2 linked regions of the Arabidopsis thaliana genome follow. Changing the gene in region 2 together with the main gene of any one other region gives a genetic interaction. Each region holds a gene or a part of one and is shown on either strand. Other genes may lie near its edges.

The links.
Region 1: of SUVR2 (region 2) and DML1, changing one suppresses a phenotype caused by changing the other (phenotypic suppression), as found in Arabidopsis thaliana (one study listed by BioGRID).

Annotation. Positions count from the first base shown.
Region 1 is NC_003071.7:15,308,481-15,317,114, forward strand, and holds the start of DML1 (demeter-like 1), read right to left. Parts: upstream 6,328-8,634; 5' UTR 6,118-6,327; intron 5,876-6,117; 5' UTR 5,793-5,875; coding exon 5,659-5,792; intron 5,576-5,658; coding exon 5,460-5,575; intron 5,358-5,459; coding exon 4,227-5,357; intron 4,134-4,226; coding exon 3,762-4,133; intron 3,657-3,761; coding exon 3,566-3,656; intron 3,473-3,565; coding exon 2,575-3,472; intron 2,501-2,574; coding exon 2,421-2,500; intron 2,299-2,420; coding exon 2,214-2,298; intron 2,137-2,213; coding exon 2,045-2,136; intron 1,969-2,044; coding exon 1,900-1,968; intron 1,811-1,899; coding exon 1,774-1,810; intron 1,690-1,773; coding exon 1,607-1,689; intron 1,449-1,606; coding exon 1,023-1,448; intron 821-1,022; coding exon 784-820; intron 693-783; coding exon 635-692; intron 562-634; coding exon 422-561; intron 343-421; coding exon 277-342; intron 196-276; coding exon 81-195; intron 1-80. UniProt on the Arabidopsis thaliana protein: Bifunctional DNA glycosylase/lyase, which excises 5-methylcytosine (5-meC) and 5-hydroxymethylcytosine (5-hmeC), leaving an apyrimidinic (AP) site that is subsequently incised by the lyase activity.
Region 2 is NC_003076.8:17,696,161-17,703,311, reverse strand, and holds SUVR2 (SET-domain containing protein lysine methyltransferase family protein), read right to left. Parts: upstream 5,471-7,151; 5' UTR 5,218-5,470; intron 4,869-5,217; 5' UTR 4,859-4,868; coding exon 4,607-4,858; intron 4,497-4,606; coding exon 4,440-4,496; exon of another isoform or gene 4,385-4,439; coding exon of another isoform or gene 4,352-4,384; coding exon 4,313-4,351; intron 4,229-4,312; coding exon 3,967-4,228; intron 3,855-3,966; coding exon 2,737-3,854; intron 2,559-2,736; coding exon 2,308-2,558; intron 2,172-2,307; coding exon 2,105-2,171; intron 2,002-2,104; coding exon 1,951-2,001; intron 1,827-1,950; coding exon 1,730-1,826; intron 1,608-1,729; coding exon 1,579-1,607; 3' UTR 1,276-1,578; downstream 1-1,275. Other genes in the region: AT5G44000 (Glutathione S-transferase family protein), read left to right, coding at 1-141, 555-804, 896-1,081; PDLP1 (plasmodesmata-located protein 1), read left to right, coding at 6,854-7,151. UniProt on the Arabidopsis thaliana protein: Probable inactive histone-lysine methyltransferase that acts as regulator of transctiptional gene silencing independently of histone H3K9 methylation.

The sequences.
Region 1 (8,634 bases), on a different chromosome or scaffold from region 2:
AAAAATAGAGCTCAAGTGGTTAGAACAACTTTCTTTTATATAAACAATCGCATCACAATCCAATAAAGAAAATCTTATACCTTTGAATATCGTAGGAACAGAGGTACCAAAATAGACCGTTCTTCGAGGTAATTCCCATATCAATTCCCTTGGGACATTGATTGGGTTTAGGCTGGATGCATGATCCGCAAACACCTGTATCAATAGAATACATCACAAGTTTCAATGCAAATAATTAAAATGAAAGAGTTGGAGTTATTGGAGTTCAAGTCTTACCTCATTTACTTGAAAGTACGTTCCATTTAGAGGAAAACTACCCCTCATCGCTGTTCTACAAGGAATCTGTACAATTTACAACATATTAATCTGTAGAAAACATAAGTGTAGTAAGCCGCATAAGGAGATTGATGCAACTACTTACCAAAATTGTCCCTCTCACAATTTGAGATCTAGTCTCCTTGATGCTGTTGCAGGAGAAACAAGTCTCCTCGTCACAAAGCATACCATTTGCTTGGAATATGCACGTACTAACAGACGGTTGAATAGAATCAGCCGTCTCACCTGTTGAATAACACATCGATTAAAGATACCGATTTGATTTCATGATTAAAAGATATGCAAATCATTAAATTACCTGGCGTCCATATAGCAAGCAAATAAGAACATGGATCATCAGGTTCTCTCTTTTCCAACTGCCACAAGAAATCACAAACAGCTAGTCAGATTTTACAATATAGACAGCACTCTATACGGCATGTGTCCTTATCCAGTTAGCTCACATACCTGAGCTAGAAGAGGATGCTCGTCTGGAAGTTCGTAACTGCAAGATACGGGAAAAGAAACAAGTTATGGCATAGCCTGTAATTATTGGGAAGTTTGTCTGCTTTCCAACTTACGAGTTCATGCTTGGTCAATCACTTAAATATTCTACTCTGTTCAAGCTTTAATAATTTTGAAAAATGTGTTTCTGATTTCATTTTTAACCTAAGAACGAAGAAAAACAGAGAAAAATGGATTCTTACACTCGGTGTTCTGTCCTTAACTGGCTGATATTCTTGAGCTTAGGCATTGGAAGAGAAGCAGTTTCAGCAGTAAGTGCAACTAAAGCGCTGGACATGTTTCCGTCTTGAAGTTCCTTGTTGTGTTCCATTATCTTCTTCAAGTTACTGGTAAATGCATCCATGTTTAGCCTGATGGTAGGAATTTCTTCTGGATCCTCAAAAAACGCCTCCTCTATGTCAGCTATTGATACTTCTGCGGTTTCTGGCTCCGGTGAAGCAGGCTCTTCGATGATTGGTTCACAACATGTGACCTTTTTTGCTGGTTCTGAGTGCTGTACTACTTCAGACCCTTGCTCTCTCTGGAATGGCTCTGGCAGGTGTAGAGGCAAAGGGTTTTTATCAGGTGTCCCCATACCTTTCTCTGTACTTGGTAAAGCAAGCCTTGCACTGTAAAACAAATGAATGTTACTAAATTTTCTGTAATGATGATTCAGAGCTTCGTTTAGATACAGACCAATTCTCATTTAACTGGGTTATATTTTAACAAGGACTTTCCTCATAGAGTCATAGTGGTACTAAAGGTTTAAGAGAACATGTTGTAGCACCTTGCAAACGCACTGGCAAAATGTCTGCATTCTCCTTTCATCGGACATGCATTGCAATTAGGTTTGCTCTTTGTGCAAAAGACCTGATACAATAATCAAGCAGATTACAAACCTCATCATGTGAGCTGATTTTGACATACGTATATATGTATTTCTTTAATACATACCTTTCCAAAAGTAATCATCTGGTAGTGCAACTCATACCTGTGAGATAATAGGGTATTAAACTAATGAATAAGTGTATTAGACTGAGGCATGAAAAAAAAAAAGTTAGTGATAAACATCATTCTTACAATGTTTTTTGGTCGAGTTTGCAGAGACGGGGCCAAAGATACTTTTGAATAGATTCAAGCATAGGATACCTAGACAAACCAAACCTCAGATGTATTAAGTAACAAATTACAATTTCCAAGTAGGACCATTTTGAAAAGTGCTTACATTTCCAGAAGATGCAACTGAAGTGACTCTGGGAGCGGCTGAAGGGGCACCCATCCAAGTCTGACGGCTATGCGCCCAACATTTGTATCAACCTGTCAATAAATTAAGTTCATGCATCATATAATTCACTTTTTATAGGGACAGAAACAAAAGTTTGATCCTTGCTTACTGGAAAGGCAAGATGGTGAAGTGTTAGAAGCCGCACACACTCCACACTTTTCAGTCCCAATCCGTTAAAGCTCAGAAGATATTCTCTGCAGGGTTTTGTAATATACGAGAGTACATAATTCATTATTAAGTCACTAAAACTGCCAAAGTAGTAATCTTTGTATAGGTTAATAAAGAAGAAATAAAATGCTTCGTCTTTCAAACTTACTTTGCTTTATCTGGTGGAACATCTCTCAACCATTCAAGATCGATACTTCCATGGTCATTTACCAGTCGATCAAGGAAGCCCTGCATGATTTTCATGTTCAGAGTCAAATACTTAAAATGAATGTTATCACGAAATTTAGCCACTAAATTTTTACCTGTATACGTTCTGCAAGTTTATGGTTCATCCCGCGACTCTTGATTGTTTCAGCAACTTCCTTAACATCTGCTGCTCGTATTGCCTTCCAATCCACGGTGTCCATTGTACTTCTTGTTTTTTCTCTAATTCCTGCTCTAGCTTGGGCTTCTCTTCTTAAACAATCCCAGTCAAACGCTTTTTTTTCCTCCTTCAAAACCTTTTTCCCTTTTTCTTTTAAGGTAGGTTTCTGACAACTCAAAACATCCCCATCTTGCTGAGAGCAACAACCAGGTTCACTACTATCAACAGAGGATTTTGTGGGCTCTTTCATTGACTGGAAACCCTTAATTTCTGAGCTACAATCACCCGGAGACATATTTGGTGATACTTGATTGGAATCTTCTAGAGAGACTTGTACCCCCTGTAGGAGCTTCATAAAGGAAGTACGATACTCTCCTTCTAAGTCGATCTCTGAGCTTGATCCTGCTCTCTCTGTATTTTGAGGAGCATCAGACACCATCGAATGTTGACATGTAAGTGCAGAATCTTCAGATGGAAACAGGTTCAGGACACGACACTTCTCATCCGTCTTATCAACCTCTACACTTGAGCCTTTTCGATCTGAATCAACATACTCCTTTGAATCCGTGGTTTTGTCAACTGATTCATGGGCTGAGATGGCAATCTCACTACTGCTTCTGGAGGTTTCATTGCTAGGTACATAATCCTTCTCCTCATCAGGCTGTGTATTTTTCAAAGTAACAGAACTGTGATTGTGATCGGGTGGGCTTGACATCGTTTCCTCTGAGTCCAAGTACGTTATTTGAATAGAAGGCATCGAGCTTGTTCCAGCGTCAAAGTTACTGCTCGGTACAAAAGGGACAGGGAACTGGGAAGCCAACGACATGAAAGCCGAACTACAAGGAGTAAAAAACATCAAAGCAAGTTAGTTTTGTGACTTTTTGCTGTCTTGGATTTAGTTTGACATAGAATTATGTAAGAGCTTGTACCTTGAGAGATGGTCTGAAACATTTTGAGTGAGAAATACTCCAACAACAGAATCCACGACGGATCCCTTCCAAGGCGTAAAACGTCGATCCCCTGTTAGAAACCAAAGACCATAACAAGAAGCAGTAGCTGAGACATACTAATTGAAACCATGTGGTTAGAACAGAAACACATAAAAGGACAAGTGTGGTGTATAACCTTGTACAAGGTGCATCCTTGCAATAAATGAGTCAGCTCGTCCTCGAAACACATTACGTTCTTCCTCCCACCATTTCGCCTTCTGCTCGTCTGATCCGTCAACACCTTCGCTATTAATATTCTCCAATAGCAGTTTCCACACTCTGTCTGTCTCATCGTCTAGATCAACCTTTGGTCGTGGGCGTGGTTTTTTAACAGGAGTTACAGGCACAATTGCTCCAGCGCCACCACCAAAGAGTACAATCTGGCTATTCATTGTGTAAGGAACGAGAGCAGTTTCAGAATGCTCCCTGTTGATGTCTAATAGACGCAATAGCTCACTGATTGTTTCGATCGAGTTACGTCGTTTCCAAAGTTCATCTGGAGAAAGACCTGCAGGAATCAAACATCATCATTATCAAGAAATAGTCTGCATTTAACAGATTCAAAAAAACAAAGAAATATAGTTCTGTATCTATTCATTACCAGTAAATGAAGGTGGAAAACGGCAAAGATTCGGAAGAAGATTTTTCTGTTTGGTTTGTGATTTCTCAGACTTGGTTGGCTTCTTTTTGCTCACAGTCACCCGCGTATCAACAAGAATCTTATTATTTTGCTGTGGCTTGCTACAATATCCTGAGGTTAAATGCTCAGGAACTTCCACAAGTTTATTCATTGAAGACAAATTCCGGAATCGAGCATGGCCTGTTGTTTTCTTCTTGATCGGCGTGTCTATCTTATCCGAGAGAACATTTAGCTCAGACTCTTGCCTTCCTTGAAAGATACCTTCTCGTCTTTCTTCAACGGTTAGGACTCTATTAGCACTGAGCTGAGATGTGGAACTGTAGCACGTAGCGTGAAAGGCAGAAACATAATTGTGCTGTTGTCCAGAGAATACTTTGCTGCAAATGGCATCATATCTCATCCCTCCCTGTTGCAAGTTTGGGGAATACAACCAATGCATTTTCTGGTAGTCACATTGCTCATCATACTGAATCCCTGATAGATTCATGTCGCAACAAGTTGGTCCTTGTCTTCTCTTTGCAGCTTGCGCCATCGAAATATCGACTTCTTCTAGATTACTGCCATTTTTCTTTGGTTGAACTCCCTTTCTTTTACCTTGGCTGCGCTTTCTCTTGGGCGTGCTAGGAGCCGAAAGAAGGCAATCTTTTAACTCTTGATTCCCAGAATCTAACTGCTTCTCTTGAAGAGCTGATTCCATCTCACCTGCTTCTCTAATGTCACCGTTGGTCTGGTTTTCTCCATTTTCGGCTTCAAAATCCAAGACTCGTCTACAGAGCCTCTTAGGACGAGTTGAAGTTTCAACAGCTGCTGATGATTCAACCGGAGTAGCGTCTTGATCCTTACTGACTTCAACCTTCTTCCGCACATATTTCCTCTTTGGTGTTTTGCTTTCTTGACCATCGGTGACAACAGACTTCCTCGGAGCTCGTGGTTTAGGCTCCCTCTTGGGTTTAGCTTCTCTACGAACCTTTGGCCGATGCTTCTTCCTCTTAGGTTTTTCAGGAGTCTTGAGGATCTGTTCAGCAACATTGTTACTCACTGAGCTCAAACTCTCCACTTCTTCAGTACCTTTTTGCATAACCTCTGTGTTTCCTACATTGAGAATCACATCTTTCTCAGTCCAACTCAAACAGAATCAAAATTTGACAAAGCGATTTCATTTCTCATGAGACCAGAATCAAAATCCCCTCTTACTTGTAGGTATTGGAGTCTGACCAGAGAATATGAGGGATGCAGTGTTAGCTAGAGCAAGCAAATCCCCAAAAGACAAGTGATCAAGACCACTCATATCCTTGTTCCCAACAAATCTCCTGCATGCATCAATACCTTACTTAACCAATTACCCATCACTACTCTTTGAAATTTCTCAACTTTAGAACAAAAAAGCACAAACCTTTCCTCCAATTGACTGCTATGATATTGATCCTCCACCGTGTATGGGCAGATCGGTGAAAATGGCTTCATGGGTGTCTGAGGAATCCATGGAGGTTGTTGAAAGCTGCTTTCTTCTCTCCTCTGTTTCTCCATTTCTGACTCTATTTTTACTTTTCTTCACTCTTACTTAAATCAGAACCATTTGAGAAAAAGCTTGGAACTTTCTATTTTTTCCACTGCAAAAAGTTCAATAATTTCTTCAATAAAAGAGATCACCAATTTTTTTTAAAAATCACGATTTTATAAAATGATCAGATCCACTTTTTTCTGGGGTTTTAGAGAAAGAGAGATCTCCGGAAGTCATTGATTTTGGGTGAGTGGCGACATGAACGATTAATCCGTTCGTTAGGTGAAAGAGAGACTTTTTAGATTCACAACAAAATGTAAAAAAAAGTAAGAAAAAAACAAAATTCATTACCAGTAGAATCAATGGTTATGGTGGTGATGGAGAGAGTTAGTTCGGTGGTAGCTATGAGAGGATAAGATCACTGATGCTTCGTTTCTTCTCTTGGAATCGATGAAGTTAAAGAGTAATATAGAAAAAGCTTTTTTGGCCTAACGTATAAAGAAGAGGATATAACATGTGTTGTTGTGTGTTTCACTATTTTTCATAACCGTTTGTTTATGTAGGGCGAAAGTTCGTTTGGTTGGCGGGAAAAGTTTTACGGAATTTTATTTTAAAAATAATGATTCTTTTCTACAAAATCTCCTAGACTATGGGAAAGATGATTTAAAAAGTTAATAATATTGTCGTTGTTATCGTCATCGTCATCATCGTCTTTTCTGTTATCTTTTTCTCTTTAAAATTTCGTATTTTTTCTCGTTTACGTAACTATTTAAAATTATATGAACTAACTAATTTTATAATTAATAGAAATTATAAAATAATCTTAATTTTGCTTTAGATATAAAATAATTAGAACTTTATTTATAAATTTATCATCAAATTATGATTTAAACAAATAACATGTTATGTAATCCACGTTTATAATTTTGATCAATAATATATTATTTTGCTAATTTTTACGTAATCTCATAAATTTACACGTTTTCGTTTACATATGCAGAAGTTAAATGATTCGTTTTAGAATTATTATTTTCCACTGATATGGGAGCTAGTGTAGTAGAGTGATTATTAGGCTAGTTGCCCAACGAGTCTTTCGTTTTTGATCATTCCAAATGTTTTAGTCTAGTACGATAGGAGTCAAAATACTGCACCATATGTGTGAAACTGTGAATGTGTGTGAAAAAAAGAGTAATTAGTGTGCTAACCTTTGATTTCCTGTCATGCAAGAAACCTTCAAAGAGACGTACATGAGAAATGAGTATTGTAAATCATTTATTTCATGGACTTGGTTGGAATCTTAGTGAATCGTTGTTGTCAATCTTAACAACTTGTTGGATTGGTTATGAGCCTATGACTTATGACTTATGAGTGAGTCAATGGTGGTCATAACCTAATGATTGGGTTATGAGCAAAGAAATTTGGAATTTGTAAAAAAAAAAAAAAAAATCAAGAGCTTTTTTGTGTGGACATATCTATCCTAGAAACTGAGACGAATAATAGTGGATAAAAAGTTGGGAACGGATTATTCGAATGTTTAAAACTATTATTGAAAACAATACAACTAAATATGGTACAAAAGTAAACGAATTCGTATAGCTAAACCTAATTCAAATTACGAAGCTAATCCATACTTGGATCCTAAACGCTTTTACTTTTACTTACGGTTTCTTTTTCAAAAAAGTTTTTACAAATTTGGGTTTGTCTTATGAAGATTATGGCAGAAGAGACTGATCAAAAGTGAATGCCTAATTCGGTTTAATCCATTCAAGTTTATCTTAAACAATGAAACTGACCATGAAAGTGAATTCAAAGACCAAATCAAAGAAAAATTAAACTGATTTAGTTGTAATATTGGTATTGAATTAAACTATAAATAGAAATAACCAAACATATAACCACAAAAGAAGACTATTTATATAAATATATGAGTTGGAAGTCATTTTTGGACTATTATATAAGATCTAATTATCACACGACGTGTGGATGTATGGTTAGCAGAGTTGTGTTCAGAGAGTTCGATAAAGCCATCACTCCAAACATACAAAATATCCATACATTGATCCACCAATATAACCGGCTGTGTGCCAAGCAAAGTGAAGCTTAGGCCTAACTAGGGTTCTCAAAAGTTCAAAATATAAAAAATATTTTGGCGTCGACCTTAAAGTCCTTGCTTCATCGACTATAGTCTAAAGCCGGCATGCCTAAAAACCTCATATAAATCGTCGCTTGTTACTCGATCATACTCTGTAACTATAAATATCCTGATCTTAATTATAACTTGAAATACTACTAATCTACGAATCTATCATGTAACCTGTTTACTAGTTTTTATTTAATATAATCAAGGAGATAGGTCACTTGAAAACAAAGACGCCACGCTTGTATCTCAATCCATACTTCTATTTTTTGTCTTATGATATGGTATCATTCACGTAGTTTATATATTAAAAAAAAAAAAATATCATTCCCATAGTTCTTAGTTCTTTGTTTTATTCATAATTTTATAATATTGGCCTTCCCAAAAATTTGGGTAAGGTCTTGGACATTACAAAGATCCAACATATACAAAAATAAATAATCAAAAAAATCTTTGTATGACTGGAGATAATGATCGGATCTTGCTGAAGACCGGAAACAGAGAATCAGAGCAATAGTACCAGCGGATACAAGACCCACGACTTCGCTGATTTGTTTTCTCATAACATGTTTGTGATTATTTTCTGATTTAAGCGTCGAAAGATTTTTTTATCCCATAAGGTCAATCCTCTCAAGCGGTGGCAGGAGATTCCCGTTTCACGCACTGTGTGAGACGTGTGAATGACATAGCTCTCGCTTACCATCCACGTCTCATGTATCAGATTCATTCAA
Region 2 (7,151 bases):
TGATATTATCGAGTTCTTCAATTCAGGTTTAAACAAATTGGCCCGAAATGATAACTTGGATCTCTCGCCACCAGAGTTGAAAGAGATGATACAAGGTTGGAATCAGATTGTGTATCCTAAAGTTAACAATGGCGTTTACAGGTAAATTGGAAAACATCATTACAATGTTTATAGAATGTTACAATGGCGTTTACAAGTAAGCGGGATATCAAAAAAGCTATAGGAATGGAGTGAATTGTTCCAAATTTGATGCGGGTTTAGCTCATAGCTTGTGTTCTTAATGCTGCAATGTGTGTTTGATGCTAAAGTTGATGACTTTGTTGTGTGGTAATTTGCTTGCGATATTTTTTGAAAGGTGTGGGTTTGCGCAGAGCCAAGAAGTGTATGATGGAGCTGTAAAATGAACTCTTTAGTATTAAAAGCTATAGAAAGCAACTGAATTGTTCACATTTGATGCGGTTTTTGCGTAGCTTGTGTTCTTGATGCTGCAATGTGTGTTTGTTGCTAAAGTTGATGGCTTTGTTTGTTGTGTCATGTGTGGTGATTTTTGAAAGGTGCGGGTTTGCGCAGAGCCAAGAAGCGTATGATGGAGCAGTGAATGAACTCTTTAGTACCTTAGATGAGATTGAGGATCACTTGGGTAGTAATAGATACTTGTGTGGAGAAAGGTTGACATTGGCTGATGTATGTCTGTTCACAACTCTGATTCGTTTTGATTCGGTTTACAACATTCTATTCAAATGCACCAAGAAGAAGCTTGTTGAATACCCAAATCTCTATGGCTATTTGCGCGAGATTTACCAGGTTCCTCTTCTTACTGGCTTCTCTCTGAGACATAAATTCTGCATCTGGGAGTGTGTTTCAAATTATGTGTTTGTTGTTGTTGTTGAAACAGATTCCTGGTGTTGCGGCTACTTGTGATATTTCGGCTATAATGGATGGCTACTACAAGACGCTGTTTCCGCTAAACGCTAGTGGAATTCAACCGGCCATTTCTTCATCTGGCGATCAAGATTCTCTCTGGAGACCTCATAACCGAGACTTGGTAGGTAAAGCCATTGAAGCACAGCTTTCGGTTTAAGCGTAGAAAACTGTACATAACTCAATGATAGGATTATCCAACAGCACTCAAAAGTATCATACAATGTAATAAGCTTTGATCTTGTACTATTATCATTCCTCATATATATAGAGAGAGAGAAGCCTTCCACAAGTGATTCTCATGGGAGTTCTTCTTAAGGTGAAATCACTTTCAAGACTTCACTTCGATACTACGATTTATATAAATAGAGAGATCTTTCAATATAAGTCATAACCAAAAGCCATAGCCGTTAGAACCAAAATTAAGATATTCACACGAGTTTTTGATATCACAAAAGTGAATCAGTTTCTAAGGATTATAGTTTCATCCTGATAGCTACCTACCTATTTTATGGACCGCGACTTTGCTTATATGCATTGTCGGAATTTTTTACAAAAAGCGTTTTTCGATTGGAATTTTTTTGCCAATTCATTCACAACAAAAAGGAGTTTGCGCCCACCACATATCTTCAAAACCTACCAATGTAAAGCTCTCTCTCATGCTCGCTTCTTCACATTCTTGCCTTCTGCAGCATCAACAAATTGCGTGTTAGTTGCAAAATAGTGAAGGGCTCATGTTTCAAAACCGAGATAACAGTCAAATATAGGAAAAGGATTATCAAATAGAAATCGTGTGATGATTACTCACTGCTAATCTGCTTCCTGACTCGGCAGAAGTCGCTACCACATTGACAATGGAACGGACTCGTGGGAAACACATCTTGGTTGAATGGGACACCATAATCCTGCAGGTCAAGTCCAAAACTTCTCAAACAGAACCACAAAGAAAACAGGACTTGAACCCGAACTAGTGAAAATTTCTAAAAGAAACAAATCTGTTAAGAGTGGGTGGAGAAACTTCTAACACACCCAGGTAAGTTCCTCCATAGCATCGATCTCTCTTGTTGTGAAGAATGCAAGCTGGAAAAAAATACAGATTAGCTAATCGGTCTATTGTTTCCACATAACAGATGAGTCTTCTATAAGCAAATGATTAGAAATGAAACAAGGAACTGTGTCATACATGATAGTAGTGTGAATCAGTAGTCTCCGCATGAACTGGGATCTCAATCAAATTTGCATCTAAGCATCTGCACATATAGACATAGTACAGTTAGAAGTAATGAATTGAGAGTGAAACCAACTATATAAGTTTCCCAAATGAGTTCTAAATCTAGGCTAGTCATATGAAACTTTATAACAAACTCATTTTCAGTGTCCCTTTACCTGTGATTGATGAACCTGGAAATATTTCCATAGTGCGTTCCTTCAAGAGAAAGTGCTTTGTCATCCCCTGAAATGTCTTCAGAACCCCAGTACGCATCCAATATTACTGGAGAAGTAGGCCTGTCAGAGATGCGTTGGAACAACTCTGGAATGGTCAATATCTCTCCAGCAAGCTCACAGACAAATGCTCCTTTAGGCAGTTTTTCTAGAGTTCTGAGTCCCCAGCCTCTCCCATTGGGCGTGAAAAACACCTGATTCAAAAAAAAAAAAAAAAAGGAACATAAACAAAATTCAGGCATCAGAATCTCTCCACTGGTTAAGTCCAAGTTAAAATGATCATAATCAGTTTCAATTCTATCAGAACTGAGATGGGTTTAGATTATCAAATCCTGGACTACTTGGCTAAAAAGGTTGGTAAGTTGAATGTACCTGCAGCTTGTTGTGAATGCCCTGTTGGACAACTCGGTTGCCACAATTCTTCATGCAGCCACACTTGCTCCAACATTCTTTAATGGCCTTTCTCTTTAGATGCCCTTTGCACGGTTCCAGGATTACTTCTTTTTTGGCTTTCTCTAAAGGACATTCTTTGCAATACAGTAACATTTGTTTCCGCGGATCACGGGCCTCAGAGATACACTGTTCCAGAAAATCTTCCTGTAGGAGGCCATCTACTGTGTATGCAAAGCCATTAAAAGCAGTTGCACATCTGCATGCCATTGACGGAGCCAAGCAATCTCCACAGCAAGAGGAGCAGCATTGGTCATCCCTGATATTCCCAAGCGAAAACTTCACTGCAGCATCTTGATACACAAGACTTTGGGCTATGTAATGGAAAACTGGAGGAACTTTGTCGTTGACCTCATTCACCCAGGGAATCTCAACAGTTTCTTTCCCTAGACTGATGTCCCCGACGCTGCTTATCAATCTCCACTCATCTGCAGAAAGTTGGCATTCAGGAACAACTACCAAAGCCATGGAATCACCAACTGCACCGTTTTCAGCATCACGCATATGTTCGTTGCTGCAGATTTCAACAACATCATTACTGGCCTGAGAAGTATAAGCCATCCTTGCTGCAGATTTCTTCAATGCATCAATGTTCGTTGTGACAAACGGCAAGTTTTTTGGCAATTGGTTAGCTGAATCTCTCCCGTTTGTTGCCAGGTCCAGGTAGCAGCTACAGATGTCGTTCATAAAACCAAGCACAGAAAAGTTGGGGTCCAGTATTTTGTATGATCGGAGACACTTCTCCTCCATTGCTCTTCGTAGTTCCTCCATAGAAGGTAAATGGGGATTTGATCCTCCAGTTGCAGGAGCAAAACTAAGATTAATCTTCACCTCGCCTGAAGCAGAAGAAGCTAATTCAAGTGCTGGAGGTTCTTCTATGGTTGCAGCTAGCTTGTGATCACTAAATCTCGCAACAGTTGTAGGAGAAATGTCATTGGTAGTACCATCAGCAGTACTTACTGTTTCACCAGCCTTCTCTTCCACATGTCCATTTGATTTGTCTATCTCAAGCATGGAAGAGTCCCCTCTATCTACTGAATCTACAGAAAACGTACAAGACACATTAGTTTTGGAGAAAGTAGCTTCAACAATCATAACAACAAAATGAGCAATGCAAATAAGATTTAGTTACTCCTATTTACAAAAAAGTACCAGGAATAGAACTGAGAGGCATATTTGTAATGGGCTCGACTTTTGTAAGAATGAGCTCACCAGCATCATGGTCATTTTCAATTGGTACAGGATGATATGGCAATAGGATCGGAGCATTTTCTTCGTCATTAATTGAAGGTCCCTCTAAAGTCGGACTGCCCAAGCTAGGGCTTGCCAAAGCAGAGCCTCCTTCACCTCTGCGTCGCAGCCTCTTTAAAGGGCGATCAGACTCAGCCATAACATCTTCGTCATCCTCGATAGACTGATATTACACAACAGAAACTGAATAAACAAGAACATGAAGACACATTACTCTAACACAGCAAAGATATTCAGTTTGCCATACTTCATGGAGCTTTTTCTTTCCTCTGTCAACTTCTGCGGCCTGAAAGATTGGATCAACAACAAAGTGAAGCATGGATAATAAAGCAACATTGAACTAATAAATGGAAGATTGTTTGGAAAAAACATACACAGCCTTCATCCTCTTTAACTTCGTCTGCCTTCTTTTCTTCGCTTTCTTGAATAGCCTTTATATAAGTAAATCAATATGGAATGTCAAGGTAATAACAAAGACAATGATTACAACAGATTTACAAAAAAAAAAACAGTAGATCAAAGAGAGAACAAAGAAAGATACCTGATCTTCATGGCTATCGAAGATAGCATCAGCAAGAACCCTGTAATTGTCTTCAGCAATTAACTCCCAGTTTTTCTCGTAAAGGGCGAGAAGGTTTTTCAAGACCGGCTTCACTCGCGCATCCTCTATTCCCATAGCCCTCATAGCCATAAATGCTTTCTTGATATGCAGATTAGGTGCCATCGTTTCTGCACCAACAAAACTAAAACTGATTGTGGGATTGCTTTCGTGAAACAAGTTGTAACTTCTCATTTGCCTCGTCCTATCAAAATGCGGAAGAAACAAGATGTGAAGAGCCGTTCAGTAAGGAAATAAATGTGGCCAGAACTCAAAACATTACAACAATAAGCAAAGACAGACCTAAAGCAAATCAACAACAAACCAAGACTACAGACATCTACCTAGCAGCAAAGACTAACCACAAGTAGCAGAAAAGACTCAGAAATTGAATATCCTAAGAAAGTTGAAACCTTTCCTCTTAAGAAAACACAATCGCACAAAGAAACTCTAACAAAACGTTGTTTTTTCTCTTCCAGAGAGCTAATAGCGTTTTCAGATGACGATGAGACTCAAAAAGGAGAAGACTTTCGTCGGAAATTAGAAGAACTTACTAAGTACAGAGACGAGAGGGTTAGGGTTTAAAGCGAGCTCGGTACAGAGAAAGGATTCCACGATTTTGACTTACTTAGTGAAGAATCTTGGCCGTAATAAGCAAATGACAACGGCGTAGAGACAATGTCGGTGACGACGGCAGAGTATTACGTCGGCGCGTGAGAGTACACGCGAGGACAGTGCCAGGTGAAATTTCGTTTCTTTCTCAGTATCTTGTTCGACTGTGACTTTTTGTTGACCCTCTCTCTTTCTTCTTCTTCTCTGCTTAATGGGCCGGGCTTAATTGGGTCGGGTCAAACTCAATAAATAAGCGAATCTTATTGACCTCTTAAGATTTGTTTTTGATCTTACTACTATCATGTGTATGTAACTATGTATGTCTCAAATTCTCCGGTATTTAAATCCAATGCAGGCAGTTCTGGTAACCTTATTTTATAAAAATTATTCACTAATATTGTATAGGGAATCTATACTTAATTAAGAGTTTCACATATCTTTTACAGTATACAGTATTAGTTCTTTCCTTTTGTAGTCTTTAACTCTTAATGATTTTGAAACATTGGGGAACACCTCTACTTCTCCGAGCAATCTTTTTTTTTTTTTTTTGGGCAAATGCTTGTTTTCATTCATCTACAAGAGAAAACAAGTACAAAGGTAGAAGGATTCTAAGATCACAAAGTTTTAACATACAACAAAGATAGGCATTCCCCAATACCATAAAAGGTAAGCAAAAGCATAGGTAAAATACATCAACAAAGGTTCCAAGAGAGCTATAATCCAAACACACAAAGGCAATTTGGTTCTTGTGAGATCAAGGGTTGTTGACAAATCTTCCACACTCACCAACTCAAAATATATCATATAGAATGTGAAATCCAAAATCCTGCAAAAACAATCATGCTTATCATTAACTCAAAATAATCATAGTGATAATATCTTTTGTAGTTTACAAAAACACACAGGTTTATTATTATTTACTCCAGTTACTACGCAATTATGTTCTGAAATTATGTAAACTCAAAACGATCATGTTTTGTTTTGTTTTGGACACAAAATAAAATCGAATCAATCATTCACATTTACAACAAGGTCTAAGATTTTATTTTCCTTCTCGTATCAGCCTACAATTTAAATCAAACTCATCAAAATATATCTTAGTGCCTTAAACAAAAAATACATATACACAAAAGGTGTTTTTCCATCAATGTCCTAAAACAAAATCCAAATTCAGACAATAAAGTCAGATTTAATGGCATTAAAGGTTATTCACTAAATTCAACAACAAAAAAGAAGAAACAGTAATCATTTTTTTTTGATACTGTATTACATAATCTCCTAAACCAAATCTATATAATAAACACTTGTCGTCTCAAAGTTTCTTTCTTTTTTATCTTACCCTTGAAGCAAGATCCAAAGAAAAGTATACTCCTTTATTTTTCATGGTTTCATACTACAAAACCTGCTCTTATTTACATTTTTTTGTCTTTAAACCTCAAAACAAAAGACAAAAAAAAAACGGAAAACTTTCTTTTTTCCGGACACATAAAAACAACACAAACTTTATTAGACAGAAACAAACTAGTAAAAAGATTTTGAACATCAAGAAACAAAAATCTCTCTCTGTCTTTCTCAATTATGAAACTCACCTATCAATTCTTCATCTTCTGGTTCTTTTTACCATTCTTTGCAATCTCCGGTGATGATGATTATAAAAATCTGATCTTTAAAGGTTGTGCAAATCAGAAATCTCCAGACCCAACTGGTGTTTTCTCTCAGAATCTCAAAAACTTATTCACTTCTTTAGTTTCTCAATCATCACAAAGCTCTTTCGCTTCCGTAACCTCCGGAACTGATAACACCACCGCCGTGATCGGTGTTTTTCAGTGCCGTGGCGATCTCCAAAACGCTCAGTGTTACGATTGCGTCTCCAAAA